Linked DNA regions of Alligator mississippiensis. The protein of the gene in region 2 purifies or fractionates together with the protein of the main gene of each other region. This does not show direct contact. Links are inferred from orthologs where the notes say so. Each region holds a gene or a part of one and is shown on either strand. Other genes may lie near its edges. The genes, in order: PHF1, EZH1, PHF19 and JARID2.

Region 1 (7,457 bases), on a different chromosome or scaffold from region 2:
CTGAATAGTCTTTGCCACAGAGCGGTTGGCTTTGGCTGTGTGCAGGAGCTTCAGCACCTGGAGTTTGTTCCAGGAAGAAGTGAGGCCCAGAGAGACGCAGGCCATCACGCCTGACCTTCTGCCCAGCCCAGCAGCAGGTTCCCCTCCCACCCTCTTAACAATGCTTTTTCCACCCTATAAAGCGCCACAGGTGAAGAGCAGGCCTGATGAGGGCACGCTGAGACTTGCAGCCATTTTGTGGCCAGGTGCAGGCTGTGGTATTGCAACAGGCACTTTGATGCAGGGGAATGAAGTAACTTCTCCACCTCCAGCTTCTACCAGTCTCACTCAGAGGATGATTCTTCTGCCCCAGACTAGGCTGCAGGCACAGCCCCAAGCCAAGACAGGCACACCATAGTCTGCAGCCCCCCCAGGCACTTACCTCCTCCTCAGAAGCCACAGGCACGCAGCGCAGGTTGGGAACGTGGAGATCCTCACTGGCCTGACTGACGCGCCGGATCTCCAGATCAGGGGCCTGGTCTGAGCGCCCCACCAATAGGTCACGCAGGCCTTCATTGTAGATCTCGAGGAAGCTTGCTGAGAAGCTATACTGCAGGGGGGCACGGACATACACAATCAGCCAGTGCTGGGGCTGTGGGGGCAGCAGGCTGGGAGACATGGGCACGGAAACTCACCTCCCAGCCTTTGGGCTCCAGCTCCCGTGCGCCCTGGAAGACCTGGCGCACGGCTCGGGGAATCATGCCCAGGGTCTCCTGGTCCAGGTTGTCCGGTCCCTCCATGGTGTAGGTCTTCCCACTGCCCGTCTGTCCGTAGGCAAAGATGCAAACGTGATAACCATCCAGTGCTGACTGCAGAGGGGAGCAGGGGAGAGGGGTTATGAAGAGAACAGCCCCCTCCTCCCACAGCCTGGCCCAGCCCAACTCATACCTGCACTAGCTGTGCAATTTCCTCAAACACATCCGCCTGGGAGCAGGCTGGGGGGAACACGCGGTCGAAGCTGAAGTCGTACCTCGTGTTGCCTTTACAGCTGCGCCCGGTGTGGGACTGAAGATTGCAGGTAGCAGGGGAGAGCAAGAGGGATCAGCCAGGGGGCCTCATTCTTTGACCCCCCACTCCGTAGCCCAGAGAGTACCCATGGGGCAGGAAGCCTGCGCTGCTGCACCTGGGCATGACACTCTCCCCACCTCAGCCTTTGCTATCACTCTGCAGCTTGTGGCTATCCTCACCTGTTGCAGACAAGCTATTTCTGAGCATGGGCAGCAACCCACAGGGGTCCCCCAGGGAACAGGTCAGCTTTGTAGGGAATGGATTATACCTTTGCCAGCACCCCTGGGGGCTTCAACACTGCATGGAGCAGGGGCATCTCCAAACTGAGGCCAGACAGCCTGTGGCTGGTGCCCAGTGACCTAGGCCCATTGCTGTCCCCCACCCCCCTGCCTGGCTCACCTCCTCCGGCCGGGAGAGTACAAGTGCTCCGTTGTCCTGTGGGGGGAAATGCAAGTGCTCCAGCCCCTTCCCCGCCTCCTGTTCAGAGGGCAGCAGGGGCCGCACACGGCAGAACACACGGATGTTGCCCTGTGGAAGAGATGCATCAGTCTAGCCCAGGATCCCAGTGCCCTCCCACCCATCTGCCCTGGGCCCAGCCCCACCTTGAGCTCCAGCACCAGGTTGTGCAGCCGCCGCCGGTCCATCTCCAGCTGGTGCAACTGGTCTTCTCTCTGCGTTGCAGCCTGCAGCAGGGTTGTCACCTGGGCTTTCAGCTCCCTGTTCTCCTGTGTGCTCTGAGCCAGGTCCCCCTAGCAGAGAGCCCGAGTGTCACTTAACCCTGGCTCAGAACTGTCTGAAATGATGGGCATGGGAGGCCATAGCTTGAGGCATCACCATGACCTGCTGACAGGTGCTAACACATGGGCTCACTGGATACGAGTGGCCATCAGCATGGCCAAAGTGGGCTACTGGGGACAGGTGGGGGCAACCTGGGGCAGTGCTGCCTATGACAGCAGGGCACTTGTGGCTCTGGCAGAGGTGCCATGGTTGCAATAAGGGAAGCCAGGGAAGGCAGCACCATACAGAGTCACTGGCCTGGCCTGGACCAGGGGACTGTGACAAATGCCACGTTGGGAATGTGATGCTGGAGCAGAACCTGGTGCCATTACAGCCGGTGCCCACAGCCTCAGAGATGTTGCCATAGGAAACTGTGCTTGCGTGTCAAGCTGCAGATTGTACTCATCTGTCAGAGCTGCAGCACCGTCTGTCTCCACACACACAGCATGGAATAGCGTGCCAATGGAGACGGGCCGATGAGCACAACTGCCTGCCCCAGGGCAGGCCGCAGGACAGCAGAGCTCCTCATCAGAGGCTCTGGGGCCGGAAGGAGAGCCAAGCTGCTCTATGGACCCCTCAACTTCCAGACCCACCTCTCTGGCTTCCAGCAGGGCTGACAGGTCCCGCTTAGCCATCTCCAGGTCCTTGTTGGTCCCCTCGAGCTCCTTGTTGGTCCTAGTGGTGTCAGTGAGCTGCTGCTCCAGTTGGTGCTTCAGATCCGACAGTTCCTTCACTTCCTCGAGGCGCTGCTGGGCCTGCTCCTGGGACACGTGCAGCTCGGACTTCACAGCCCTAGAAGTGCAAGGGGCCAGGGTCACTCCCCGTCCGCATCAGGCTGCTCCTGCCCCCACCCCACCCCACCCCACCCTCCTCTTACTGGAGCTGGCGGTCCAGGTCCCCGTTACGGGCCAGCAGCTCCTGCCTCTGCTCCTCCAGCTCCTGGCCCCCCTTGCGCAGCTGCTGCACCTCTTCTTTGTAGATTTTGAGCTCTGCCTGCAAGTCGCTCACTTGGCCCTTCAGGTCCCAGGGTGCCCGCTTCTTCTTGCCACCCCCCAGCTCCAAGGCACGGCCTGAGGCAGAGAGAGAGATTGGGGGGGAGGGGCGCAGACTGTGGTGGGGAAGCCCAACCGGCCAGGCCAGCACAGGGGGAACTTGGTGGCACCTTATAAGTACATTGGGGCTTGGAGGAACATCTATTCACCAAGCCCTGCAGGGGAGGACAAATAATGGGCACAAACTGATCAAAGATCGTTTCAAATTAGACATAAGAAAAAGCTTCTTTACAAGCCAAGCGCCGAGGGGCTGGAACAGGCTCCCCCAGGGTGGTCTAGGCACCCGCAACGGCCATCTTCATAAAGTGCCTCGACACCCAGCTCGCCGGGGCCTCCTGCCCACGTCCGAGCTCCCTAAGCCCCCCGCCCCGCCCCGCCCCGCCCGCCGGGAAGCTGCGGGAGACGGGTTACCTGTCTTGGGAGCGGCTGTGGCTGCGGCCACGGCTAGCCTGGAGGCGGCCCCTGGGGAAGGAAAGCAAGGCAGGCTGGAGGCCCGGAGCGGGAAAGGCCCGAGCCGGGTGCTGAGGGAAGGGCTCTGCCCCCAGCCCCTCCCCCGCCCGTACCTGGGGCAGACGCGGCGTGTGCGGCGGGGCCCGGCGGCGGGGCGAGCGGGCGGCCGGCGAGGCCGGGCGGGGCCGCCGATCCGGGGCGCTGCGGGCGGGCGCTGGCGAGGCGGCGGGGCGGGCGGGCGCGGGCGGGGGGCTGCAGGCGGGCGCGTTTCTGCGGAGAGATGGAGACGTGAGCGGGGCGGCGGCCGCGGGGCCCGGGCGCCCCGGTTCCCGTTCCCGTCCCTACCTGCTCGGGGCCGGGCGCGGCCTCGGCGGCGGGCGCGCGCTTGGGCACGGGCAGGCGGGAGGCGGGCGGCGGGTCCATGGCGCTGGCGCAGGCGATGGCGGAGCCGGAGTCTGGGCGCGCGCGCCTTCCGCATTTGAAATAGGCCCCGCCTCCGCCACCGCGCGCAGCCAATCCCGCGCGCTCGCCCGCCCCGCCCCCTCCGCCGCGCCGCGGCCAATCGCAGCCCGCGGCCAATCCGCTCCCACCGCGCCCCGCCCCCCAGCCCCGCCCGGCCTGTGGCGGCCTGCGCGCTGGAGGAGGGGAGGGGGGTACGTGCCCTGCGCGCGCCCAGCGCCGCTCGCAGTTGCGCAGGGCGGGAGGGGGTGGAGCCGGGAAAGAGGAGAGGGAGGGGCGGGGCAGGTGCAGGAAGCGGGGGGCGGTGGGGGGGGGGCTGAGTGGGAGCAGTTATGGGGTGGGGGCGGGGCAGGTGGGCGGAAGTGGGAGGGGCTGGGGCAGTTCGGGGGGGGGGATCGAGGGCGAGAGACGGGATGGAGCGTTTAGGGTGGGAGGAGGCGGGGCAGTTTGCGGGGCTGGTGGGAGGGGTTGGGGCAGTTTGGGGGGTAGATGGGGAGATGGGGCAGTTTGGGGGGAAGTGGGCGGGGACGGGGTAGGTGGGAGGGGATGGGGGGGGCCTGGCAGGAGAAGTGGGTGGTGCACCAGGGGCACTGGGTGAAGGAGGGGTGACCGGGGCGGCCGGGGATGCTGCTGGGGTAGGGGCTGTGAGCAGGGGGGAGCTGGGGTGGGCGCGTGGGGCAGGGGCCTGGGGTGGGAGGAGACTGCTTGGCTCCTGCACTGGCTCCCCTGTCGGAGCATGGGGCTGCAGCCCCGGACCCGGTCCCATCCCCTTCCCCATCCCCAGGCAGTAGGAGTGGGGAAGGGGCTGCCCCCAGTGCCAGGAGGGGGCACTTGCAGACGATGCCTGGCCTGGCCTGGGGAGGGGTCCAGGGTGCCAAGGGCCTGGTCCCAGGCAGTGCCAGGAGGGGGGCGTTAGGGGGGGTCCCCTCCCCGGGCGTCTCTCCGCATCCCCCCTTGTTCCTCCCTGCTCCGGCGGCTGCGGCGGCTGCTGCTGCTGCGTCACTGGGCTCAGGCTGCTGCGATGGAGCCTCAGCGGGTCCTGCTCTTTAGCCCCTGAGGGCCCCGCGGCCTCTTGGCCCGCAGATACCCCTCCCCGGCCGGGGACTGGGGAGTGCCAGCCCCCACCCCTGCAGGAGACACCAAGACCTGGTAAGGGCGGGAGCGGCCAGGGGCAGGAAGCTCCCCTCCCCCATCCTGGAAGGAGAGGCAAGGGGCTCCCCTGCGACACCGTGCCCCCCTTCTCCGGTTGTGACCCACCCCCAGTCAGTCAGAGACCTCAGGGAGTTCCTGCACCTGAGATGCTCTCAGCCCAGACCCCTGCCTCCCAACCCTGATGGGGGTCCCTGGTCTGAAACACTCTCCCACCTCCCATGCAGGGCACCCCACGGACCCCACCTTGGAGGCCCCACCTCCAAATTTCCAACCCTGCCCCAGAGACCACCCCATGTCCCAGGGTCCTGCCCCCACAGATCCCCAGAGAGGGGCTCACATAAGGAAGACCTTCCCCCAAATAGCAGATCCAGCCTCCTAGATGTGAGACTCCCTAAACCCCACACCTGCCAGAGGGGACCTGAGCTTAAGACCCTCTCCCTCTCCCAAACCCCACGCTTGCCAGAGAGGGCATAGGCTGAGACCTCCCCGAAACCCCACACCTGCCAGAGGCCCCAGGCTGACACCTCTTGGGAGCCCCACAAATCCTCCAGGTTCTGCGAAGCTCCTGCACTTGAGAGACGTGTCCCACAGTAAGAGCTCTCCAGCACCAGGCCTGGAGGCTCAGACCTCTTGCTGCACTCCTGGCCTGTCCTCCCTCACCTAGCTGGCGGCCTTTGAGTGGGGTGGAGTGAACCACACCATGGGAAGGAGAGAGGGAGGCAACTGGATTTGGGGGAGGGGGACTCAGACTCCTAGGTTCGGCAGCTGGGACTGACCCTCGCTGCATGCAGCAGGTTGGTCACAATGTGATGGCGAGCGAGCTGCCCACCCAGTCTTCCCGGGTGACGCGCACGACCTCACGCCTGGCCTCCGGCCCCTGGAAGCGCCCAGCAGGTGCCCCGACAGCCCCGGTCCCCGCTCCCAGCCGGCCCCGCTTCTGGGAGGGGCAGGATGTGCTGGCTCGCTGGACCGATGGCTTGCTCTACCTGGGCACCATCAAGAAGGTGAGTGCAGGGCCTGGGCCCCCACCTCCGCCAGACCCCACAGCCACCCCCCCTCACACCGCTCTCCCTATACAGGTGGACAGCTCGCGGCAGGTTTGTCTGGTGCAGTTTGAGGACAACTCCCAGTTTCTTGTTCTCTGGAAGGACATCAACCCGGGTAAGCAGCTGGCTCCCAAGACCCCAGCCGGGGGCCTGGCTTAGCAGCATCCCATGTGGTGCCTGGGCTTCATCACAGGTTTCTACTCCCTCCCCCCACCCCAACCCTTGCCCACTGGGTCCCCCAGGCAGTCATGGGGCTGGTTCTGTCATCTCTTGCAGCGGCAGTGCCTGGTGAGGAGCAGACCTGCTGTGTGTGCTACACGGAGGCTGTGAGCGCAGAGAACCAGCTGGTGCGGTGTGAGAAATGTGGGCATGGTAAGTGTGGCTCCTGGCCCCTGCCCCATGGCTCCCTTACCCTGCCACCCATCTCATCTATGCTTTGCCCCCACAGCTTACCACCAGGAGTGCCACCTGCCCACAGTGCTGGAGGTTGGTGGCAATGGGGCAGGAGTGCCTGGCACCTGGACGTGCAGGCAGTGCGTCTTCGCTGTGGCCACCAAGGTGAGCTGGACCCCCACCCCTTTCCTGACCCCTGTGCCCCTTGCACCCACTCCTGGCCTGATACTCTCCCTCTCTCCTGAGCAGAGGGGCGGTGCCCTCAAGAAAGGCCCCTATGCCAAGGCCATGCTGAGCATGAAGATGGTGCTGCCATATGAGCTGAAGGCTCTGGAGTGGGACCCAGTGCATCTGACTAATCGGCAGCAGTGCTACTGTTACTGCGGTGGACCGGGAGAGTGCGTGTCCTTCCCCTTCCTCCCTGGGGTCTCCCAGATCTAGAAGGGCCTGGAGCTGGCTCTGGGGTGGTGGGGGGTTTCCCAGAGGCTTTAGGTCAGGGTCCATCCTGGTGTAGGCACCAGTCTAGACTAGCTCAGTTGGAGTCCAGGGCAGGGCTCAAAACTCTGGAGCAGGCATTAGAGCGGGGAGTTCTTACCTTGAGTGGCAGCCTGGGTGCAGGCCCCTCAAGGGGCACCCCTGGAGCTGGAGCCAACACGTTCTGGACGGGGGACACTAGGTGTTGGGGCTGAAGATTTTAGGCTGGGACCATCCCAGGGGATGAGCTGGGGAGGTTCCAGATTGGGCTCAGCCTGTGGCATGGGGCTCAGAAGCAGGCAATGAAGCTGGAGAATTTGGAATCAAGGCTACTTTGGGGTTGGAGCAGGATTCGCATTGTGGGGAGCCCTGGGGCCTTCCCTTGCATGGGTGCTGGGGACTAGCGAGGTGGGGGGGGAAAGCTAGTGGTCCTGGCAGCAATTGTGCACACCTGTCAGATGAGGCAGGGCTGGGCTGTGCACTCAGCCTGCTGCCCTCCTGCTTCCTCCCACAGGTGGAACCTGAAGATGCTGCAGTGCTGCCGCTGCGCCCAGTGGTTCCATGAGGCCTGCACCCAGTGCCTGAGCAAGCCGCTGCTCTATGGTGA
Region 2 (7,642 bases):
AGAGAATGTGGAAATGCCTGGAGGCTGAAGGCACTGACAGAAGTGACACTTTGTCATGCGCTCTGCCATTGAAAGTGCCCTACAGCCATCCACTCAACTCCAGGGCAGGCTGGGCAAACCCCAGAATGGACCTCCCTCCCATCCTGAGATGGGCCCCAGAGCTGGGGGCGGGCAGGAGGGGAGGGGAGGCAGGGCTAGGGGAAGAGGCGGCAGAGGCCTCTTTTGCTGGATGGGCTTTGAAGTGGAGCTCAATCCCCCACCCTCCCAGCCCAACAGTGAACACCTGTTGGGTCAGGAAGGTCAGTCTAACTCATGGTACTTTCTGTAAAGTGCCATGAGTTAGACTGGGGAGCTGCACATCTGTCAGTGCCCAGAAAGTGCTGTTGAGCAACACCGCAGCAGTTCTGAAGTCAGCTGATGTTCACATCAGTCTGTCAGAGGGATGATAAATTACTGTACAGTTCTGGCCGAACAATCGTAAAACTGGAACAAAACTTGGACCAAGCTAAGATTCTACAAGCCTTGTGGAGACACCAGGATGTGGTGACAGAGAGGCTTTCAAGGCATGCGATGGATGGCATGGTAATTGCGGTATCTCCGAGTTACCAGTTTTTACAAGAGACAATGTGGTTGTCTGCTGTCCCAGGGGGACACAAGCAGAGGCCCCGGGGCACCCTCCCATGGTGGGACCTGAGGCAGGGCTGACTCGCTCAAAGAAGAAAGAGAAAAGTCCTGAAAGCAGGGCATGCTTACTGTTTTTAGGAAAAGCAGAGCCAGCCAAGCCACACCGAGACGAACTGCCTGTGCAGTTCGTCAGCTGCTTTTATTGCTGGCTGGGAGCAGCGATGGCAGATGACATTATCAGAAATCACCGCCCGGCTGATTTAAAAGCCAGGAGGCAAGGAAATGGAGGGGAGATCAGCAATACCATAGCCAGAAGGCAAGGCTGCTCCCCAGGCTGCACACAGGCTGTGTTGGCAGCTCGGCGGAGATCCGGACGGAGACCCGATGGAAGTGTCCAGGATCCATTAAAAGAAGCATCATGCCAGCTCAGCAGGACAGCCGGGCCAAGGAGGATGGTGTTGAGGGACCCTGGAGCCGCAGATGCTGGATCTATGAGTGGGGCAGGCTGAGGCCCCATGCCCTATTTTTTTCTTTCTTAATTTATTTTGAGTTTCACAGAGCCCCAAACCAGTGAGAGGGGCCACGAGTGGCCTTTTGGGTCAAGGGGAGCCAAGTCAGTGCAGCAGACTGCTACGCTTTGAAGGAAGACCCGACACATTGACAAGGGTGGTCTTACGTCCCGTGGTCTTCCTGTGTGGAGGGACGCTGGAGACAGGCAGGGAGAAGAGAGGGTAGGTGATGACATCAGAAGACAGGCCGGCGCATCGCTGGGGTGTAGGGGAGGTAGAGCCCCAAAAATGCCCACTATGGACAGTGCCCGGTCTGCGAGGAGCTGCGAGGAGCCCCACCATTAAAGAGGAAGATCAAGTTGTGGCAGGCGAGTATCAGGGCCTTCTTTGGGGTGAACACAACCCAATGCCTAAGCCTCAAGAACAAACCCTGCGGCTGGCACCGGGTGCGTGCTCCAAGGCAAATAGAGAACGCCTACATGAGGCCAGGTGGGTGCATCTGCAACAGCAGAATACTGGACTCTGTGGCCCAAGAGGCCCTCTGCAGTCCATTGTGCTTCATGTCTGGGTAGGACTTAGCCTGGGGCTGGCCCTCGTTGCTTTTTTTTTTTTAATTATTATTATTTTGTGTCTCAGGCCAAATTAATCAAATCATTTCCAAATTCTAATCAACTGAGCTGAGCTTAATCATTGAAATCTGTGTGGCACTACTGCCAGCAAGTATCCTACCTCCCAGACGCTGCACCCTGGGGCTTCAGTTACTCCCAAATCCATGGCAAGCATCCTATGTACAAGAGCCCAAGCCCAGAGGTCTTGGAGTTCAGATGCTCCCTAGTCTTGCTTGTCTCTAGCCAAAGGCCATAGGAGCAAGTTAGAGAGAGAGCCCAAGCACAGCCAAACACAGACCTCAGGGCACTGGAAATACAAACAGGACAAAGATCAGATAGGCCTTTGTCTTCCTTCCCCTGCGTGCTTTTGCTGTAAGTGAAAGGGTGAGGCTGTGGCAGGAGGATATGATGTGCAATTCCTTTGTCTACCATAGTTATTTGTTTATTGTTCATGCAGGAGATGCACCTGATAGCTCATTTCCAGGTGGGTGAGCAACATACAGTATACTGTGGAAATTTAGAAACAAAGCTACTCTGGAAAAAATCCCTGACACAGCAGCTCAGCCAAGTTTTCTGCCCCTCCCAACAGAGCCAAAGGAAACAGATGGCCCTTTGACCATGCCCCAAAGATCAACAAACTTGAGCTCTATCAGACCCAAGGGGAAGTGCTCTCTGGAGCCAAACTCTGCTACCACAAAGTATATTCTGCAGCCAGTCCCCAAGTGTGTGATTCTAGGGATAGTTAGCTAGATACTAGCTAATCTAGGTCCTGGTGAGAGGAATCTCTCAGGTAGCTAGAATGCAAGGAAGCATCCAGGATTGTACCCAGATGGCAGCAGGAAGCTAGGGAGGAGTTGGTGTAATGTACCCTCCGGGTTATGACAGCTAAATGGGAGAATAGTACAAGTTATATATATGAGCCCTGTGTCCTTGAATATACAGCCTGAGAGCACAGGACAGCATAAATTATGTTGTTACTGAAGGAAATCCAGGTGTTCAGTATTACCATGACACTCTGAGGCCAAGTGTCTCCAACAGAACAGGCAACCTGGAAAAGCTTCAGTTCTCCATTATCTCGGCAGGAACCCGCTCTACAGGAATTAAAAACAAGGGAAATCACCCTGTCATTCTTTTACCACTGAATCCTCCAAAAAGCTATTTCATAGCTCCTTGGAAACTGCTCTTCGGATTGCTAAAAAAACAAAAATCCCCCATACCAGAGCTTCTCAAATCTAAAATGTATGCTATCACCCTGTAAAATCTGTCCTCTGGACACTGTCACACCCTGTGATGTCTCCCCTTGTTCTCCCCTAAAAAGGCTACCTATAAAAGCATATTAAAGCCCCGAGTTCTGGTACTTCTGTATGTCCTTGTAGCCAGGGGGGGAATTCTGGAGCCAGCTTCAAGAGCACCCTTTGGGCAGACTCTGACTGGCTGCATTTTTGAGACTGTAAAAGCAAATGATGCCAGACCACTGCTGAGCATGTGCAAGAGACCACCATTAGAAGCTTTTACGTGCCCAGTCTGAGTGCATTTTCCCATGCAGCAAGAGGCACCGCCCTGATCCCAGCATATTCTCCCTGCCAGATATCAAGCCACTGCAGCTTTCAACAAAAAAGATTTAAGTACAGGTTTCTCTCGCTTTATATTGTACAGTACATGCGTTCCTGGAAAAGCACGCATAACTCCAATTCGCATAAAACGAACCCACTTTACAATGTAACAAATGGGGATATGTTCCAAGACCGTACTGACCCCCAGACCCATTTCGACCACTTTTACAAGACAGTTTTGGTACTCACCAAAAGCAGCAGTGCACACAAGCACAGGGCAGTGGTGAATGATACCATAATGGGGACGGCAACTACAGAAACAAGTGTCGCAGACAATGAGCGAGGACCCCGGATCCACACAGGAGACTATATTTTGGTGCGTGTCACTCCCGCAACGCACTGCAAAAAAGCAGCTGACAGCAGGCTTTCACCACACCGATTGCATGAGTGAATTTACCTCGCATATAATGAATTTTTGGTATTAAAAAGGTCATTGCATAGGAGTGGATTTGCACGTGCAGAAACCACATAAGGAAAGGGAAACCTGTATTTTTTTTAACACAGACAACATAAGATCTCTCCTCCTTATCTCATCCTCTCCACCATTTTCTGCTGAAATTTTCTGAAGAAACCGCCTGAGACAAACACCGGGCATGGGAAAATTAGCTGCAATTAAAATTTGGCGTGGGCAGAAGCAACCCACCCCCGAGCCGCCTGACGGGAAGCACTAGGCGATCTGGGCATTCCCACAAATCTGGGCGTAGAGCAGGGCTGCCGGCCACCCAGCGACGAGCCAAGATCTCCTGGGCTGACACAAGAGGAGGCAGCCGCGGGCACGGACCCGGCTCCAAACGTCTCACCTCGTCACGAGGGGCAGATCTATAACACGCCGGATTTCTGTGCCGGAGAAAGGCGCACCAAGTGCTCAAACAAGGCTCCCTGCACCCCCCGGGGGATAGGGGAGGGGTGGGGCGGGGCGGAGCGGGGTCGGGCCGGGACTCCCCAGGGCTCTTCCTGCAGACCACGTATTTGCCTCGCCCGGCTCTTATTTGCCTCACACGTCCGCGCTCGCGAGCGTCGGGCACACGTGACCCTTCCCCCCTTGACGCTCCGCGGCTCCCTCCTCCTGCAGTGGTACAGTCCCGCCTCCCTCAGAGTGGCGCAACCTATCCTGCCGCCGCCTGTCCTGGCCGCGTGCCTCCCACAATGACACAGTCCTAGCTCAGCGTTCTGCCCCTGCCCCGCGAATGCGTAGCGGGGTGGGCGGGGCTTCATGAGTGGATGCGGCGCTTGGGGGGCGGGGCCTCGCTGGAGGGGGCGGGGCCGCGCGGGGGAGGCGAGCTAGCTGGTTGGCGCAGGCGCGTAGGTGGCGTCGGTGTCTGCGGCCTCTCCGGAGCGTGATGGCTGAGGAGTGAGTGTCGGGCCGGGGCGGGGCGGGGCGGGGCGGGGGTCTCTAGCGGCGGGCTGCTGCGGGGGGGGGGAGGGATGAGGGGCGAGGGCTGGGCTGGGCCGGGCCGGGCCGGGCCGGCCAGGCCAGCCCAGGCCAGGGGTCGCGGGGCGGGGTCCATGGGCTGCCCGCGTGCCCGCAGCAAGCAGGCCACGTGGGCCGGGCGGGCGGGCTGCTGGTTTCGCCCCCACGACGGCCCGCGCGGGAGCGGGAGTGGGGCTGCAGCAATGATAGGTCCCCTCAGCACTGCACAGGGCTGCCTGGGGCGCTCCACGGGTCGCCATGGGCCTGGCGCAGGCGCAGCAGGCTTACCTGGGGCTCCCACCTCAGGAGAGCTGCGACGGAGCCATCCTTGTCGTCTTTTCACGGGCTCTGCCTGTAGTAGGTGAAGTTCAGAGGCTGGGGAAATCAGCCTTTGAAACTGTGCCCTAAGGGCAGTGGGTGAGGCACACCCCAGACATGGGAGCATAGGTCTGAAACCTTGCATGGTACAGAGGGGCGCAGGTCGGAGCTGTCCATCTTGTCGCTGTTGCATCGGGTCTGCCTGGCCGGCCTGGAACGTCTGCCAGGGAGAGATGCAGGGATCTGGATGAATGGGCAGTAATGCGTGCAGAAGAGCTAAGCAGTGGCATGAACGGAGTATAATACGTTTGAAAGGGTAATAGGACTCCTAGGGAAAACCAGGTTTCCCTGGACAGTGTTGCTGACATCAGGCCCCTGCTTGCTGATGCTGTATCTGTGGCAGGGGGGAGTCGCGTTTCTGCTTCCGTAGGGGTAGGGCAACAATTTGTTCACGGTAGTAGGCAGCTGTAGCAGCTGGGTGTGTTACGGGTTGTATGTTGTCTTGGGGAGGATATGACATCACTTTATTCAGAGGAAATGTGCAGAGCTGGCACTAGGCATGAAGAGGACATGGGCTAGTGTTTTGCTTTTTACTACCTCAGAGAGTGTTTGACATCTTGAGTAAATAACCGGGGAAGGATTAAAACAGAAGCTTCTCGACTGCCCAGCACCACAAGGGTAAAACGTTGGGGTAAGATCCTAGTTAGTGGAGGGGAGAGCAGCTTATCCTTTCCGCCCTTACAAGTCTGCATGTAATGAGGCCAGGTGCTGTGGGTAAAACAAACAGAGCTGCTCAGGATAGTTGGTCAAAAAGGAGTTCACCCCAGTTCTCACTGGACAGTCGAGGAGCACAATCTGTGGAGTCCTTGCATAGTATGCTTGGCCCTGAGCAATTAGTTGTCTCAGTTCTAAGGGCTCTTAGATCAGCCCTTCTGGGTCCCTTTTAAATACACTTTGCACTGTAATTATTTCTTAAATAAGTAGTACCAATATAGCCTACTTGAGGAATTACTCTTTTCCTGAGTAAGGTCAACAATACATTTAAAATCCCAACATACAATATTTTTTAATGACTACTGCTCACATCATGATATCCAAGTATTAATCTTTCCTTGTTTGTTTTACAGGAAAATGGATATTGCAGCTCCTCCAACCTCAAAGTGTATTATATATTGGAAAAGGAAAGTCAAATCTGAATATATGCGTCTTCGGCAGCTCAAGAGGTTTCAAGCAAACATGGGAGCCAAGGTAAACATATTACAGTAGCAGTAGGTCTTTTCTGTTTAAACTACAGCCTTGATCCCAGGTACTACTAGTCAGTACGGTTGCAGTCACGTGTCTTTCTCCCATGTTACTACCTGCTATGTAAAATCTTAGCTGTTACTTTGCAGAGATGTGTGTTTTCATCATTGGTTATGTCATTTGACCAGAAAATTGTTTTTTGTATCTGATGTCTTGGGTGAGCATTAGGTGCTTCAGATTCCTTGAACTCAGAGCATGCCTCATATGCACGAAGCAACTCTGCTATCTCCTGAGTTTTGACTCCATGTCTTAAAGACTGGCTGTCTTCAGCTGCCTTTTACTCAGTCTTCTCTAATTCACTGCTAGGAGTCTGGTAAAGTCAACAGTGACTGGAAGGTATCACCAGCTATTGGTTGTTCAGTTGATTGAGTTGAAGAACAGCATTATGCACATGCATCCAGTGAATTCAATTAGAAATATTTTTAAAGGAGATCTATCAACTTGAAATGTTAGTAACTGTTTAATTAAGGAGGTAAGTACTTTCAGGCCTTTTACCTGCTAAGTTTTGTGGTCCTGTGGCAGATTTTAACTGTCTATTTTTATTTTGTTTATTGTGGCAGGCTCACACAAACAATGGAAACAGTGAAATCAAGTTACCCAAATGCCAAATATAGGCTACTTGTTTTTAGTTGTTTAGTGACAATAGCCAGGTCAGTAACAAGAGCACTGGCCTAAGGGTTGCTGCAGATTCAATTCCCTCCTCTGCCCTAGACTTCATGTGTGACTTGAGCAAGTCACTCTATCTCTGAGCTTCCATTTACCATTTGTCAAATGGAATTACAGTCCTTTGGAAATGACACCTGCACTGAGTCTACAGCCTGATGTGCAGAACACATTCCAGTGGGCATTTCATTACTCTGAATCTTCACTTGCCTTTTGATTTCAAGGGCTTGTCTCTTTCTTGTTTCAGGCTCTGTTTGTGACCAATTTTGCAAAGGTTCAAGAAAAAACACAACTTCTGAATGAAGAATGGAAGAGGCTTCGAGTGCAGCCAGTGCAGTTAATGAAGCCAGTCAGTGGGCACCCTTTCCTGAAACAGGTACAATGGCTGCTCTGCTGTTTCTGCCTCCTTCCAAAAACACTGATGACAGCCTAGGTTTTGCTGGGAACTCTGAAGGCAGCTGCAGCTTTCTTTGTGCTTTTATGTTTCAATATGTTACTGTGCCAAATATTCCCCCCATGCTGCAGAACTAGGGGGAAAAAGAAAATGTACTTAAGCTAATGTTTAAGGAGGAAATGAAGTGTGTGTAAAACTCA
Region 3 (7,192 bases), on a different chromosome or scaffold from region 2:
ACGTAGGAAGGACCAAGGACTGTCACCTCACTTGGTTTCCAAGCTTTGGGACAAGCTGAAGACAAGCCCACCCAGCAGCAAGGCGAAGGCGTCAGCTGGGGCAATGGAAGCGCACGTCTCAGTACGGCAGCCAGACCTCAGGCTGCGAGACGAGAGAACAGCGAAGGTCCTGGGGGGGCTGAGAAGGGGCTTCGGATCTGTCTCTGGGAGCAGGTGCTGGGGTTAGAAACAGCCGCCAGGGCAGAATAAGAGATCGAGGCTTCACTCACCATGCTGAATGTCCTTCCAGAGGACCCAGTACTTGGAATTATCTTCAAAGGTCACCAGGCAGCTCTGTTTGGAGCCGCTCACCTGCACAGACAAGGAGGGAGATCAGATGCCAGTTTATCCCACTCCCTTTTGAGCACCGCTTCAGTGGCTGGCTGGACTTCAGAGACACACGCGGGTGCTCTGCTCCGGCCAAAGAGGCTGCACGGACGGCCCTGCAAGCAAATGCTGCCTGCATACACCCAGCCCAGGCTCCGCAACAGCGGCAGCAGAGGCTCACCTAGGAAGGAGAGGGCATTTTTATGTCCAGCATCCATGCCCGGGAGTTCATTTCACCAAACCACCAAAGAATGAGAGTCAGTCCTGGCTGCCTCTGAACTGGGCTGGAGATGAGCCAGCAACCCAGGGGGCTGGGGTCCCAAATAGTCCAAGCCACCCGCCTACAGGCTTTGTCTTTAGCCCTCCAGAGAATGGCGGCTGGTGCTGGCTAATAAAGGGCATTCACTATTTGACGTGCCTTAGCGTTTTCCCTAACCCCAGGGGGAGGCAGGAGCAAAGGCACAAACCGCAGCAGACTCACACTCCTATACAACCAGCGTGACAGGAAGAGAATCGGGAGTTTCACTGAGCCCGAGGTCACTTCTCCCAACTGACAGCTACCTGGGCTGCCAGGAACTGCCTCTCGTGGGGTCAGCACTGACTGCAGGTGTAGCACAGACACCGGGTTTGCCCCAGCGATCCTGGCCCCTCCTCACAGGTCCTTGCTTAACAGCAATGACACTTAGCATACATAACACCTGCCCTGGAAGGCGCTCTCAGGCCCAGGGGTGCGCGAGTGGGAGCCCTTCCCCTGCTATAGGAACGCAGAGCCACTGAGGCTGGTCCCCTGCATTTGCACACCATTGCTAAGCAGATGAGCAAACCGGGGGCAAGGAGAGAGGCCGGGTCTTGCCCGATGCTCTACAGAAAGAATCAAACGTGCTGGAGACAAGAGAAACCATTTCCTTAATGTTTTGGATGGAACAAGTTTCTCGTATTGGTTTGCGCTCTTTCGGCCGTTTTGCCATTTCCTTCCCAAGACTTGATGAAAAAATAAATGGCAACTTTCCTGCCGGACAATGAACCCCAAAACCTCAGGCCCTGACCCCACCTTTCAACTGCAGTGGACTATGTTTTCATTCAAAAGAGATATCCGATCCTTTCCCAGCAAAACGGGCCCATTTTTGAGCTGAGTTATTTGCTTCTTGTTGCACCCGATTTGCACATGCAGGATAGAAACCACGTTCTCTAATGCCCTCTCTCCTGCTCAAGCTGTTTATACAAGGACTAACAAAAGAGCAGACAGGAACAACCCAAATCATGATCTTTACACCCTGGCCCACCCTCCAATCAAGGACACTGAAGTTGAAGCTTGCTCAGAGCTAAGTGTGTGTGAAAGGTCCTTTCTGAAAGAAATGCTTGTGAGACGCCTTCTCTTTGAGGGACAGCAGAGAAGGGCCCAACTTTCCAAACCTGGTCCTGAGCCCAGGTATAAGAAGAGCCCTGTGGTATGGGGGTATCTGAAGCCTGGATGTGCGCTCAGCCCATTACGGAGCTAGGCATCCGGGGCAGAGTCCAGCCCCGGTGACATTGTGAGAGCGCCAGCTCACGCACCTCTCTGGTTTAGGCACCAGCATTAAAGAACTGAGGTCGTTCTAGCAAAGCTGCGAATGCCTACTACTTTACCCTCTTGATCTTGCCCAGGTAATAGAGCCCATCGGTCCAGCGGCACAGCACATACTGCCCCTCCGTCAGTTTGACCATCAGATCTCTGCAGCCGTTCCCATTCTTCACGGACGCGTCGACCGACGCTTGCTGCAGGTGGCTGGCCGCCGCGTAGACATCTCGGATGATTGGGTTCAGTGTGCCGTTCTCCATGAGCCTTGGCAGATGCTGCCGAGAAAACAAAACGGGGTTTAGTCTGTGATCACAACCCATGGTAAGGATGTTCTCAGTTTGGCAAAATCCCGTCCCTTAAAACTTCCAAGTGCCGCTGTGCTACACCGCCTCGTGCATTCAGACAGTCAGCATAGGGACGGAAAGAGCAAACAGCTCCGGGGCATCGCACGCATGACGGGAGGCTCCATCAAAAACACATTAGAGGATTATGGAAGTAGCTCTTTATTCCCATCCATCTGAACTCCCACGTTCCTCTGCCGCTGCACAAACCCCCAAGCCCAAGAGGATAGCGTAGGAGCACGCACACCCACCAGACTCTCAATGGCAATCGGAGACAACGAGCCTAGCTCCAGTCCTCCAGAGGCGCGAAGGACCAAAAGCAAACGAACAGCGCTGAATCAATTGGGTTTTTACAACACCTTCGTGTTTCTTGATGGAAAGGTGCGATTAACAACACGCAGGTGCAAGACAGCTTCGCGGAAAGGGACCCGGGTACCTTTATTCGGATGCTATCCCATTAATTGTGACACGCACACCTTGCTCATTCCATGCCCAGAAACGGTGCAGACTATAAACTCAGCCCGTTTTATCCCTGCGTCTTTCCACGCAAGGAAAGAAACAGGCTGCATAAATACCCTACAGGTTATTACTAAGCTTTCCGCAGACTAACATTAAGGGCTAGAGACTTTCTCAACTCAAGCTAAGGGCAAGTCAGGCCCCATGTAGCCCAGCTCGGCACGCCTCCCAAAGGGCATTCGTTCTGGGGAACGGTATCAGCAAGCAGCTACATGCCACTGAAAAATGCAAGCCACCTTCCAATTTATTTCCGTATTAACCAAATCGTGCCGAGGAAATCAGCGGGACAGCCACCCCGTGACTACTGCTCCCACCAGTTGGGGGAAACGAGGAGAAGGAAACACGATGAGAAGGTCACTAGTGGGGCGAGAAACGCTGCGGCAGCAGGGGCGGGAAAAGCCGTCTTCGCTTGGAAGCTTTCTCCAAACTTCTTCCCGACTCTCTGAGCCTCTCGACTTTGCAAAACCAAGCTGGAAATTCCTCGAGAGCAGTTTCCCCTCTTCCTGCTCGTGGCATCGCTGCTCCCGGACCCGAGCAGAAAGTGCGGAGCGCAGGCAAAAAAATGAAAGAAAGAAAAAAGCGAGGCCTCCATGGAAAAATCTGCTCTGCCCTGACTCAGAGCCAGCCAGTTCCTAGGAAAAGGCTCGAGTCACAGGACTGCGCCGGTCCTCCCCCCGCCCCGCTCGACTCATCCTGCTCCTCGCCGCACCGTTAAGCCAAGCACGGCTCCGTGCAACACCCGGGGCCAAGCTTTTGGGCAGGCGTGCCACCAACGGAGCCCGGCGAGGGATGCCCGTCCCTTGCCCGGGCTGCTGCTCTGCTTCCTGCTCCCGCCCTGGGCCACTGGCGGGCACCCCGCTCCGCAGCACCGAGGACTCGCAGCATCCGGCCTCGGGCTGCGGTTACCGGGGCGGTCGCAGGCGAGTCTCCTGAAGCCGAGCGCGCTAGTGCCACGCTCCCCGCGGCCCCCGATCAGCCGCCTCCGGGGCTGGGGAGCGGCCGGCTGCCCTGGCCCATCCCGCGCGGGGCAGGGCAGGGAGCATCTCCTGCCAGGGGTGCCCCTCCAGCCTGCCAGCACCAGCCGCCCCCCTCCTCCTGCTCCCGGGGCTCTGATTGGCTGATTCAAATGCATTCAAAATAGGATCCATTTTTGGGGGGAGGGGGGAAGCGGGGTGCGGCGCGCTCCAGCCCCGCGCGCCCCGCCGCGCCGCGCCGACACACGTTCGCCCGCGCCCCGCCCGCGCCCAGCCCGCCCGCGTCCCGCGCCCCGCCGGGACGGCCCGGGACGGGACGGGCAGGGCGGGACCCCGCAACCCCGGGGCAAGTGTGCACGCGCTGCCCCGCGGGGCGAGTGTGCGGGGCTCTTACCGGCGCTGGCGGGGCCGGGCGGGCTCAGCCCCGCGGCGGGCGGAGGGTGCGGGGCGCCATCTTCTGCCCTCTTTTCTTTTCCCGCGAATTATTTACGTTTCGCTTATGCAATTAGCCCGGGCCGCCGCCTCCCCCGCCCCTCGGCCCGGCCCGGCCCGCCCCGCGCCCCAGCCCGCGCCCGCCCCCCGCACCCACACCCACACCCACACCCACACCGCGCGGGTGCGGGGGGGTGCAGGTGTGCACGCACAGGCGGCTGTGCACACTTGTGTAGACACGTGCAGGCAGGCAGCCATACACACACGTGGAGGCACACGCAGCTGTGCACACGCAGCCATGTGCAGACGTGTGCACACACTCCTGCAGATGCACGCACATGTACAGACATGCGCACACTTGTGTAGACGTGTGCACGCATGCAGCTGTGCAGACATGCACACGTGCTCACGGGCAGCCATACACACGTGTAGACATGCAGATGTGCACACAAGCATGCACACACGCGCAGACATGCACGCATGCAGCTGTGCAGACATGCACACACACGTGGTCACGGGCAGCCATACATACATGTGTAGACACATGCAGCTGTACAGACATGCACACATGCAGACATATGCACACACACACGTGCAAGCATATGGAGACATACACGCTGTGCGCACACGCATGCACGTGCACACACTGTACTTACTAAAAGACAGAAGGGTGCACACAGGTTTCCCCGCCCTAAAGCAAGGGCAGGGGAGCATTGACGTCGGTGACACAAACCTGTATGGGGACGGGGCTCGGGTGGGGGGTCCAAAAAGGATCCCCCCGTTGGAGAAGAGTCCGACTGAAGTTCGTCCCACAGGCACTGCTCAGCAAGGCGACCGGGGGCCAGCGTTAGTGAAGCCCCCCTCCCAAGCGTCTGGCATGCGATGCCCTTGCTCTCTGGACCCGAGCGTGCCCATCCTTAGCACGCATTGCAGGGACACTTCGGGGCACGTCACCGAACACTGAAAATGCCTCTCGAGCCCAGCTCCGCACATACGCTCCTCCGCAGCTGCCCCTTGCCGGGCCGTTCTGGAGGCGACGCTGACACTCGCCTCGTCGGTCCCTTGTGTGCGCAGCCCCGAGCCCCCGGATCTGGAATGGGTATAACCTCCATCCTAATATCAGTCCACAAACCCGGGGGGTCTTATAGACTCATTGTGGTCAATACCAAGAAGAGTCACAGCGTCTGAGGGTTGGACGAGACCCCAAGGATCGTCCAGTCCAGCCCCCAAAGACCACCTAGTCCACACCTTCCCTAAGCAGGCGGTTCCACTGTCCTGCTGCTCTGACAGCTGGGACAAAATAGCTGAGATTTATTAGGAACTGCTGTCAAAAGACAAATATTTTCACACCTGGTCAGAGAACAGAAAGCCGATTCCTCATTTAGGGCCTGTTCCAAAGCCTACTGAAATCAGTAGGTGACACTATTGACTTCAGATGAAAACCTTAATGAGTTGTTCTCCAATATATTGCATTCTTCAGTGCATTGCCGAAAAAAGCCTGCAGTTCCAATAAGTATTTCCCCCAGGCAATCATTAAAATGGCGCGATGGTAAAATGCCACTTCTTTGCCATTTCTTAGGACTGAGCTATAAAACATCAAACCTTTTCTCCACCATGTCTGGTGTGTTATGACCCTTTTACAGATAAGCAACTAAAAAATAATAATTAAAATTGTTTAGACCCAAGTTAAAAAGGTACTGATAATTCACTCTCTCAAAGTACATAACAGGTCACAGCCAGGCTGTCTCGCAACTATAAACCTTGCCAGCTATGTTACAGGCCACTAAACACCTCGCCAAAGAAAAATATCAAAGAAAGGGGAAAATAGAGTTCAAGGCTCTTAACGATTAATCACTTTTTAAAACTTTGTAAGACTCAACAGCACAAGGGGTCAAAAAGATGGAGCATGTTACTCACAACTTCAGCACCGCAATACAGAATTTGCAATTCAGAAACACTTTTAGGACCTCACAAATAGCCTCTTTGTAGCTCTTTTGAGAGACAAGAAACTCCTTACAACCATCATAATCAAAGGATAAATATTTCTGTCCTTAGACAGGGGTTGCTTTGTAGGATACAAAATGGACACAAAATAACCTAAAGCAATAAACTTCACTATGTAATACTAATTCCCTTCTCCTGGCCTGAACGGGCTTGGCAAGATGAGAAAAAAATATGGATCTCAGCATCAGTATATAAAATAAAAACTCTTCTTCCTTGTTTTCAAATTATTTCCCTGCTATAGCATAGGCAAGTATTAATACCATTATAGTAGAAGGAATATTATCAGTATAAAATAGGAAATGTGGGTTGAAGGGACCGCAGAGGTCACATCTAGTGCAACCCCCTGCTCCAAGCAGGACCAGCCCCAGCTACATCATCCCAGACAAGGCTTTGTCAAGCTGGGCCTTAAAACCTCCACGGATGGAGATTGCACCACCGCTCTAGGCAACCCGTCCCAGTGCTTCACCACCCTCCTAGTGAGAAAGCTTTTCCTAACATCCAACCTGAACAGCAGACAACAATGAGAGGTTATTCTCTAAACTGAATACCGCCATGTCCCGAGAACCGAGTAAAAATATGTATGCATTCAAAAAATACAGATGTCAATTCTGCAATAGTCTCTTGTCCAGATCCTTCAAGTAAGTGTCGCTGCCCAAAGAGCACTTGCTTCCATGTCATGGTCAGGAGTTTGTCTTCCTAGGGACGGGGAGGGTCTCTCTGACACGAGTGCAGCTTCCACGTTTAGCTATTAAGTGGTTCGGCTCCGGTACTCGGAGTTTGGCTGCTACACGTGAATGACGCTAGCCCCCTGCTACTTCCATTTTCCACCCATAGCTATCTGTGCCAAGGTGTGTGCTGCTTGGACTTGGTCACAGCCGATTCCCCCAAGCCCTGTCACACACACATGCAGAACGCTGATCTGCTAGTGCTTTGCACTGGTTTAAACACCTGCTCACCTGTGAAGGGGTAAGACCTTGGCTCAGTGCCCCTTTACTGCCCCA
Region 4 (7,586 bases), on a different chromosome or scaffold from region 2:
CATTCCCCGCCCCCGCTCCCCGGCACACGCGGCCCGCCTCACGTTTGACGTCACGCGGGGGGGGTGTGGAACTAGAACCTTGAGACGACGAAGATTCCACAGAGCCCAGGCCCTTCCCTTTGTGACGTCACAAGCACAACAAGCCCCTGGCCCCGGCTGGGCTGAATGGCCGGGAACCCAGGGGCTCGCGCTGACACGCCGCTTAACCTGTTGCTGCAGAGGACGCCGGGGAAGCGCGCCGGGCCGGCCCACGCCGCTGCCTGCACCAGCACCAGCCGCCACCGCCGCCGCAGCAGCCATGGTTGCGTCGATTCATGCTACTCGCTGCATCAGTGCACCAACCCCCCCTCCCCTCCCCTCCGAGAAACCTGGCAGGAGCCTCCCCCCCTCCCCAACACAGAGCCCTTCCCCTCCAGCCACTCCACGAAGTTCAACTCGGGAACACAAGGAGACATTGTCTCCCCACTCCTGCTTGCAGGGGCATCTCGTACCTGCGGAGCTGACAGTAGTTTTACTAAATCTCTAAGGGGCAGCGGCCAGACTGAGGCTGCATTGTTCACCAGCCCGGAGCTGGGGGGGCTTTTAAATAATAATAATAATAATAATAATAATAATAATGATGATAATAAAAAATCCTAGGGGAGGGGGGTATGTTCATTTGTCATGACCAGCGCCGATCGTACCCCCCCCTCCCGCACCCCCTTCTGCTTTGTCTCCCAGAAACGTGCCCGTCTGGTGGGGGAAAGTCTTAAGGCAACACGCGCCGTTCCCGTCTGGATTGCAAGACTTTAAACTAGTCGGCTTCAGCCTCCCAATTCCTCTGCAATGCGGATGTATTTTAATTCAGAAATTCGGGGGGAAAAGCAGCTTGGAGGGGGGAAGGGGGGGGCTGTCCATTTCACCTCGCTCTCCTCTGCCTTCAGCTTTGCAAGAGTCAACCCCCGAGAGAAGCAGGCGGCGGAAGCCAGCGGCAGGTTTTAGGAAATCTATTTCTAGAAGGGAGAGAAAGTGTCCCGAAGGTCACCCCCCCTCCTTTTAGAAACATCCCCCGGGGGGCGAAGTCACCACCAACCAAAATATCTTTATTAAAAAAAAAAAGTTGTAGTTTAAAGTGTTATATTCACTATACCCCAAAGCAAGTCTCCCCCCTCCCCCAAACAAAATGAAACCTTTCATTTTAAACATACAGCTGGAAAAAAAAAAAAAGAGAGAAATCATTCTGCGATCGCCTGCCTATTTGGATACCCCCCCCCCCTCAGTTTTCTCCCCAAAACTCCCCCATGCCAATCAAAACGGAGCTGGAGCACGCACAAAAAATCCAACTACCTCTGCACATTTATACGTTTAAAGGATTAGACAATTACAAGGGATTGGTTAAGCGGTTGAATTAAAAACAAAAAGAAGCAGGAAGAGAGACACACACAATGCTGTGCAGCCTGGACTGGACCGTATTCTTCTAAAATTTCAAGGCATCGCCATCATTTTTCTTTTTTAAAGCTATTTCCCCATTATTCAAGTCAATCCCAACGCACGCATTCCCTGTAACACGATCCCCGGCCGGCTCGGGTTCTGCTGCCGGCCGGAGGAGCGAGGGATCACATCCGTGAGATGTGATGTGGTCGTGCAAGAAACGAGCTCGCCATAACCAGACACTGGATCCTAACTTAAAGGGCTTCCCACAACCCCGGCAGGAATAGCCCCTTACTCCTCCATGCAAAAGGCTTTTTTTTTTTCTCTCTCTCTCTCTTTTTTGCCTGCAAAGTGCAATCTGCAGAAAGCTGCTGGAAAACGCAGTTTGTAGTTACACGACGGCAGCAGCATCCCCCCCCCACCCCCCTCTCCCTCCCTCCCTCCCTCCCCCCCCCCCTCCCTGCCTTTCACCTAAAACTAGATTATGATTGTGTCATTTGAGGTCAATACATTTATTCACTCGAGATATCGCTCTACCCATCTGCACCGGGCAGGACAAGGCTTTGCAATTAAAAATAAAGAGAGGCCCTGAAACTGCCCAGCACCTTGGGGGATAAATAAATATATTAAATACATACACAAACAAATAAATCAATCCATCAGCATTAGCAGACATCTGTTTCAAAGCCTGGTGGCTGCAAGGATGAGCCCGAAACTTGACATTCACTGCCATTTCCGAAACCTGGGACTCAAACGAGAGATTGTTACGGCCACTTACGTATTTCTTTTGAATGATATTCCTCTTGGGTCTTTCTTTGCTCATTCTGGTATCCAAATGCTGATGGCAAAAGGGGACGATTGCTTCATGAATTAAAGCCGCGACAAGGTGTTAAAAATAAAAAATAATAATAATAATATAATAACAATAATAATTAAAAAAAAACCACCGACAAAAAAAAATCCTGGGTGGGTGCTGTTGGCTGGTAGTGGTCTCTTGTAATCCGACTTTCTTCGCCTCACAATGCGATTCTCCTAGCAATAAATCCGAGAGGTGGCGGTGGGGAAAGGAAGGGGGAAAATAATAATAATAATAATTATAATAATAATAATAATAATAATAATAAAAGAGAGAGGCGAATGCAAAGCAAAGCACCCCCAAAATAATCACTTGAGTGAAACATTCATCATGGAGAGAGGCTCCCCCTGAAGAGACGCGCGGGGGGAGGGAGAAAAGAGCACCCCGACGCCCTTGAGATCCCCCTTTTGGGGAAGGGGGTTTCCTCTCTCTCCTCTGCCAAAGCCGCCTCGGCAGCGATCTGCGGGTCCGTAGTGTCTGAGCTGTAGTTACATCTTGGGCCAGGGAAGGGACGGCCGGGAGGAAATAAATAAAGGAGGCTGGAAGTCAACACTCGCGCTGCTGCTGCGGCTGCAGCAGGGGAAGAAGCAGCGCAGACAACTCCGGCGGCGGCGGCTGCTGCTGCACGCACCGATTGTGTGTGTGTGTTGTGTGTGCGTCCGTGCCCGCCCGTGTGCGTGTGTGTGTGTGTGCGCGCGCCCGCCGCTCCCCCCGCGCCAATGCGAACCGAGCCGCCCTCCAGCAGCAACTTTAAATGGACCTGATCTTTTTTTACAAGCCCCCTTTAGGGCTCACCGCGCAACTCCTGCCCTCCCCGCCAGCCGCAAAGGCTAGCGACGCCGCTCCCCCACTCCCTTCTCAGCGGGGGAATTTAGCCACGGTGCCTAAGCGCGCCGCACGCTCGTCCACCCCCCGTCGCCCCCTTCACCGCAGCTCCTCTGCTAGAGCCCTTTAGGCCCAACCCCTCCCCCCCGCTCCGCGCCACACAAGCCCCGCGGCGCCTGGCCTGGCTTGGCAGGCCGGAGAATTGCCCTCGGCCTGTGGGGAAACTTGTAGTTTCCCCCTCGCCACAAAATGGCTACAGCAGAGGGGGGAACTACAACTCCCATCATGCCCCCCGCTCGGCCTTCCTCTCGCCTTCCCCCTCCCCTCCGCTTCTCACCGAACGCTAGGGCGCTGTCCCGCCCCCTCCGGGCGCCACGCGGCTCTCGGATTGGCTGCCGCTGGGGGTTGTCCGCGTGGGATCTCCCCTGCTTCCCCCCTCGCTCCCGCCCTCGGTCCCAGGGCTTGTTGGTGTGGGGGGGAGCTGTGGGACGCTGGACGGGGGGCTCGCGCGGGGGAGGGGCACGCAGTGCATCGGGGGTTTTATGGGGGGTACCACTGCCCTGGGGGAGGTATGCATCGCATCGGGGGTTGTATGGGGGTACCAGTGCGCTGGGGGGGAGGTATGGAATGCATTGGGGGTTGTATAGGAGCACCAGTGCACTGCGGGGAGGCAAGCAGCGCATTGGGGGTTGTATAGTGCACTGGGGGAGGTATGCAGTGTATTGGAGGTATGCAGTGTATGGGGGGCACCAGTGCACTGGGGGGAGGTATGCAGTGAATCAGGGGGTTGTATGGAGAGGAGGCATCTGTACTGTGGGGGGCACACAGTGCATAGGTGCTGTATGGGGGGGGGCACCAGTGTATAGCAGGGGGTAGGCAGTGCAGTTTCTGGGTTAGTAGTGGAGCTAGGGCAGTAGTCTGCCAGGAGGGCAGTTGCCAGAGGTGCTTGTTATGCCTGCTTGTTAGCTGCCCGGAGCAGCTTTTGGTGGGAGGATGTTGATGCAAGGCATTTGGAGGGGAGGCTGGTAGGAGGTGCAGAGGCGGGCACCACCCACACCCTCCACTGCCAGGGGAGGCATGTGCTCCTGGGAGAGGGGGTGGAGGTAAAAATAGGACTTTATTGGGAAGCTACAAAAAGCAAGGGTGGGGGGAGTGGTAAGCAAGAAGGTGCAGAGGGAGACGCAGGATGAATGTGTCTGGCTTAAGTTAGGCAGTTGCAGTCCCGAATTTCATTTATCTAAATTATACTGTGGGCTAAAGGGCCCTCTTGCTTTGGACTAACTAGTTGTTAGGAGCCTGTTCCTTTGCTTCGCTGTCAGTGTCACCTCAGGACAGTGTGCCTGGTTTATATAAAACTTGCTCAATGCGTCTCAAAGGTATTCTAAGGTCACTCCCCTCCCCCGCCCCCCTGTAATGCCTCAAAAGCCCTGCTGCTGCACTGGATTACTCTGAAGAGCTAAAGCTTGCAGACAGCAACAGCGGGACTGGTGGGCTAACGTATCATAATCAACTCTATATATAGCTAGGGAGATTTAAAAAAAAAAAAAAAAGCCCTGCTTTTTTGCTGATGCTAAGGCATGCTGCAAAAGGGAGGATTTGCTCACCATTAGAATCTGAAATGTTTGATTGAGGTAAAATAGTTCCCAGGATTGAAGTAAACACACTCTTTAGTAAATACAGAACATTTACTGTAGCTTATTGGATGGATGTTTTAATCTTTTGAGAGAGAGGTCATTGGCCGTGTTAGTCTGCAGTTTGGCAGAAAGCAGGGTAGAATTGCATCTTAATGCCTAACTAAATAATAATGCAGTACATCTATGATTCAGTGGTTTTCAACCTTTTTTTTCATTTGCAGACCCCTAAAAAATTTCAAATGGAGGTGTGGGCGCCTTTGGAAATTTTGAATGGAGGTGCAGACCGTTTTGTATTGTAAGTGTGGGTATTCACATACTTTTGATTGATTGTAGTCATCTTTTGCAGACCCCTCAGACAGTCTGCAGACCCCCCCAGGGGTCCGTGGACCACAGGTTGAAAACCACTGAGTTAGGTTATAGGGTGCAAATCTATTTTGCTAGAATGTTTTCTATTTTCTATTTTACTAGAATGTTTTCTGTCTTTGTTTATATAAAACAGCTGATTCACAATAACAGCAAGAGTGGGCCCTGATGTCTAAAACCTAAGACACCAAATTTTTAAAGTGAATGTTAGGGAATTCTGAGTCCTTGGAGGGCCCTGGGCAGCTTTTCTAGTTTTGTACTTAAACCACTAGACAGTTTTACCTCTCTGTACAATTGTATAAAAGGATCTAACTAAATAATATCGTTGTAATAGCATGTGCATTTATAACATCTTTGATGCTCTCACCACACTGCCCAAATATTAATTTAGTGTCATATTATTGCTCTGAGGTAATATTATCCCTAACTCAGCAATTTCAGTACAAAGAGGTGATGGGTGACTTTGAGCAAAGTCGTGCAGCAAGGCTGTGGGAGATCCAGGAATAGAACCTCAATCTCCTGACTCCTAGTCTTATGCCTGAACCACAAGACCATCCTTCCTCCCCTAAAGAGATAGAGAACATGATGCTCACGTACTCTAGAAATAGGGCACACGCCACTTTTAAAATATTAAATGAAGGAAATCAAGTTACTTTTTAACATCCTAACTTCAATTTTTTTCAGATTAGCTACTACTTATACTAGAGTTTTCCAAATGTGTCTTTAAAGATTTCAAAACTTTTTAAATGAAGTTTCATTCTCAATTTTGTGCGGTATAAAGCTTGCTTACGTTTTGGAAAGTGACTACCGTTGTATTTCTTTCAGACAAGCTTAGTATAATCAGAATAATGTTTTGAAGTGTCATTTTAAACATCATATAGTATTGAAATACACCAAGGAGAGGGAGACCTGTATTTTCTCCTAACTTGGAAATCTAGGCAGTTACTGGCTGGTTGAATATAATTTATTTTTTTGTAAAAGGCAGAACCAGAACTTTGTTTGAATGTTTTTTCACAATAATTAAAGTAGATGCACAAGTTCTGATTTTTACCTTTTTAATAAAAGTGTGCATTCACAAATACAGGTGCTGCTGTCTCTTTCCTTGAAAAGCTCTGTTGATAACAGAGGAATTAGATCCTCACAGGTAATGAGCCAGTAGTAGCAACTCAACAGTTTGATTTTTCTGTCTTTTTAATGTTTGTTTAGCACAGATGCCTAGGAGATATTTGAGAGCAAATACCTTACTATTTTATATTTTTTCTTTCTGGAGAAAAAGGCTGGACATTCCTCTGCTTCAGAAAGTGAAGCCACTACCCTGCCATTCATTGACTATTGGGATTCTACAACTGGATTGTTGAGAGACAGCTAGGACCCACTGTAGAATATGCAAAACTTGGTGAGAGATTTGGTGGCTTGCCTCTTCAGTTAAGGGCTTTAAATCCATGTCTCTTCATCCTCTGAGGAGCACTCCAGGAAGACAAGGGAGTACAGCGGAAACTAGCATCCTGATACTTTCTTAAAAACTGTTGTGCTTACTTATTAAAATACTTACCTGGCTTCTTTGCAAAACAAGAGCATAGATCCACGCAGGCTCAGTATGTCATGACCTTCCAACAGCTGCTGTACATGAGTAAGAACCTACTACTGCTACTACCTCACAGAGATTCACTTCCAGCTCGGATGGCAGAGTTCTGTGCTACCACTCCTGAAGATCAATTCCTTTATCTCTGTTTATGACCTACTCTATATAAATTAACATTTCCCATTCTTGCCCTTACCCCATGTTTCAGCCCCTCAGTACTGGGCTGAATAAATACTTAAGGTAGATTGATTTGCAAAATGATTAATTAAAAACTGAAACTGTGATTATGTAGTCAATATTGTACAATTAATTGCTGCTGACATTACTGACTGGCACTGAATTTGATCTAGAGCTCCCAAAAATGCCTTAACTTGATGGTGAGCTTAGTCTTAGCTGATGTCAGATTATTTTGCATTGGAGATGTTTGAAAGTGATTAAAAGTAACAGTGGTGAGTTCCCTCATTTGTGTAAGTTTTGGATTATAACTGTTCAAAAAGATGATTATTTTCTATCTTCCAGTGAGGTAGATTTACAAAGGTACCTCTACATAGAATTGGATTTTTTTTTTAACAAGTTCTGCATATTCTACTGCAGGGGTAGGCAAAATACGGCCTGCGGGACCCTAAAAAATGTAGAAAATTAATATTTATCTGCCCTTGGTTAGACCAAGGGGCAGTAGGACACGGGAGGGAAGCCGGGCAGGCTCCCACAACAGCAGGGCCCGCCCGGCCCTGCCCCCCCAGCTGGAAGCCCCAACAGGGTCTTCTGGCCTGGGACCACATGGCTGCACCGCGTCGGAAACTCAGGTGAGGGGTTGGGGAAGGCAGGGGAGGACCTGAGCTGAGCACGGGGAGAAAGTGGCCCCTTGCCCACCACGTGGCCAGTGCCCTGCACTGCAGCTACTTGCAGCCTGCCT

The links.
Region 1: the proteins of EZH1 (region 2) and PHF1 purify together in Homo sapiens (affinity purification with mass spectrometry; 5 studies listed by BioGRID and IntAct, with this or other methods). This does not show direct contact. The link is inferred for Alligator mississippiensis from reciprocal best matches to the Homo sapiens genes EZH1 and PHF1.
Region 3: the proteins of EZH1 (region 2) and PHF19 purify together in Homo sapiens (affinity purification with mass spectrometry; 4 studies listed by BioGRID and IntAct, counting the BioPlex papers as one, with this or other methods). This does not show direct contact. The link is inferred for Alligator mississippiensis from reciprocal best matches to the Homo sapiens genes EZH1 and PHF19.
Region 4: the proteins of EZH1 (region 2) and JARID2 purify together in Homo sapiens (affinity purification with mass spectrometry; 4 studies listed by BioGRID and IntAct, with this or other methods). This does not show direct contact. The link is inferred for Alligator mississippiensis from reciprocal best matches to the Homo sapiens genes EZH1 and JARID2.

Annotation. Positions count from the first base shown.
Region 1 is NC_081834.1:64,870,891-64,878,347, forward strand, and holds the start of PHF1 (PHD finger protein 1), read left to right. Parts: upstream 1-4,451; 5' UTR 4,452-4,934; intron 4,935-4,941; exon of another isoform or gene 4,942-5,527; intron 5,528-5,728; exon of another isoform or gene 5,729-5,731; 5' UTR 5,732-5,746; coding exon 5,747-5,941; intron 5,942-6,016; coding exon 6,017-6,098; intron 6,099-6,259; coding exon 6,260-6,355; intron 6,356-6,431; coding exon 6,432-6,541; intron 6,542-6,625; coding exon 6,626-6,774; intron 6,775-7,364; coding exon 7,365-7,457. Other genes in the region: kinesin-like protein KIFC1, read right to left, coding at 1-57, 422-589, 675-848, 928-1,044, 1,447-1,575, 1,650-1,796, 2,418-2,616, 2,702-2,894 and 3 more. UniProt on the Homo sapiens protein: Polycomb group (PcG) that specifically binds histone H3 trimethylated at 'Lys-36' (H3K36me3) and recruits the PRC2 complex. Involved in DNA damage response and is recruited at double-strand breaks (DSBs).
Region 2 is NC_081827.1:152,151,328-152,158,969, reverse strand, and holds the start of EZH1 (histone-lysine N-methyltransferase EZH1), read left to right. Parts: upstream 1-4,630; 5' UTR 4,631-4,694; coding exon 4,695-4,705; intron 4,706-6,210; coding exon 6,211-6,331; intron 6,332-7,295; coding exon 7,296-7,424; intron 7,425-7,642.
Region 3 is NC_081835.1:64,140,170-64,147,361, forward strand, and holds the start of PHF19 (PHD finger protein 19), read right to left. Parts: upstream 3,012-7,192; 5' UTR 2,245-3,011; coding exon 1,993-2,244; intron 352-1,992; coding exon 270-351; intron 1-269.
Region 4 is NC_081826.1:128,795,329-128,802,914, reverse strand, and holds the start of JARID2 (protein Jumonji), read right to left. Parts: upstream 3,017-7,586; 5' UTR 2,234-3,016; coding exon 2,189-2,233; intron 1-2,188.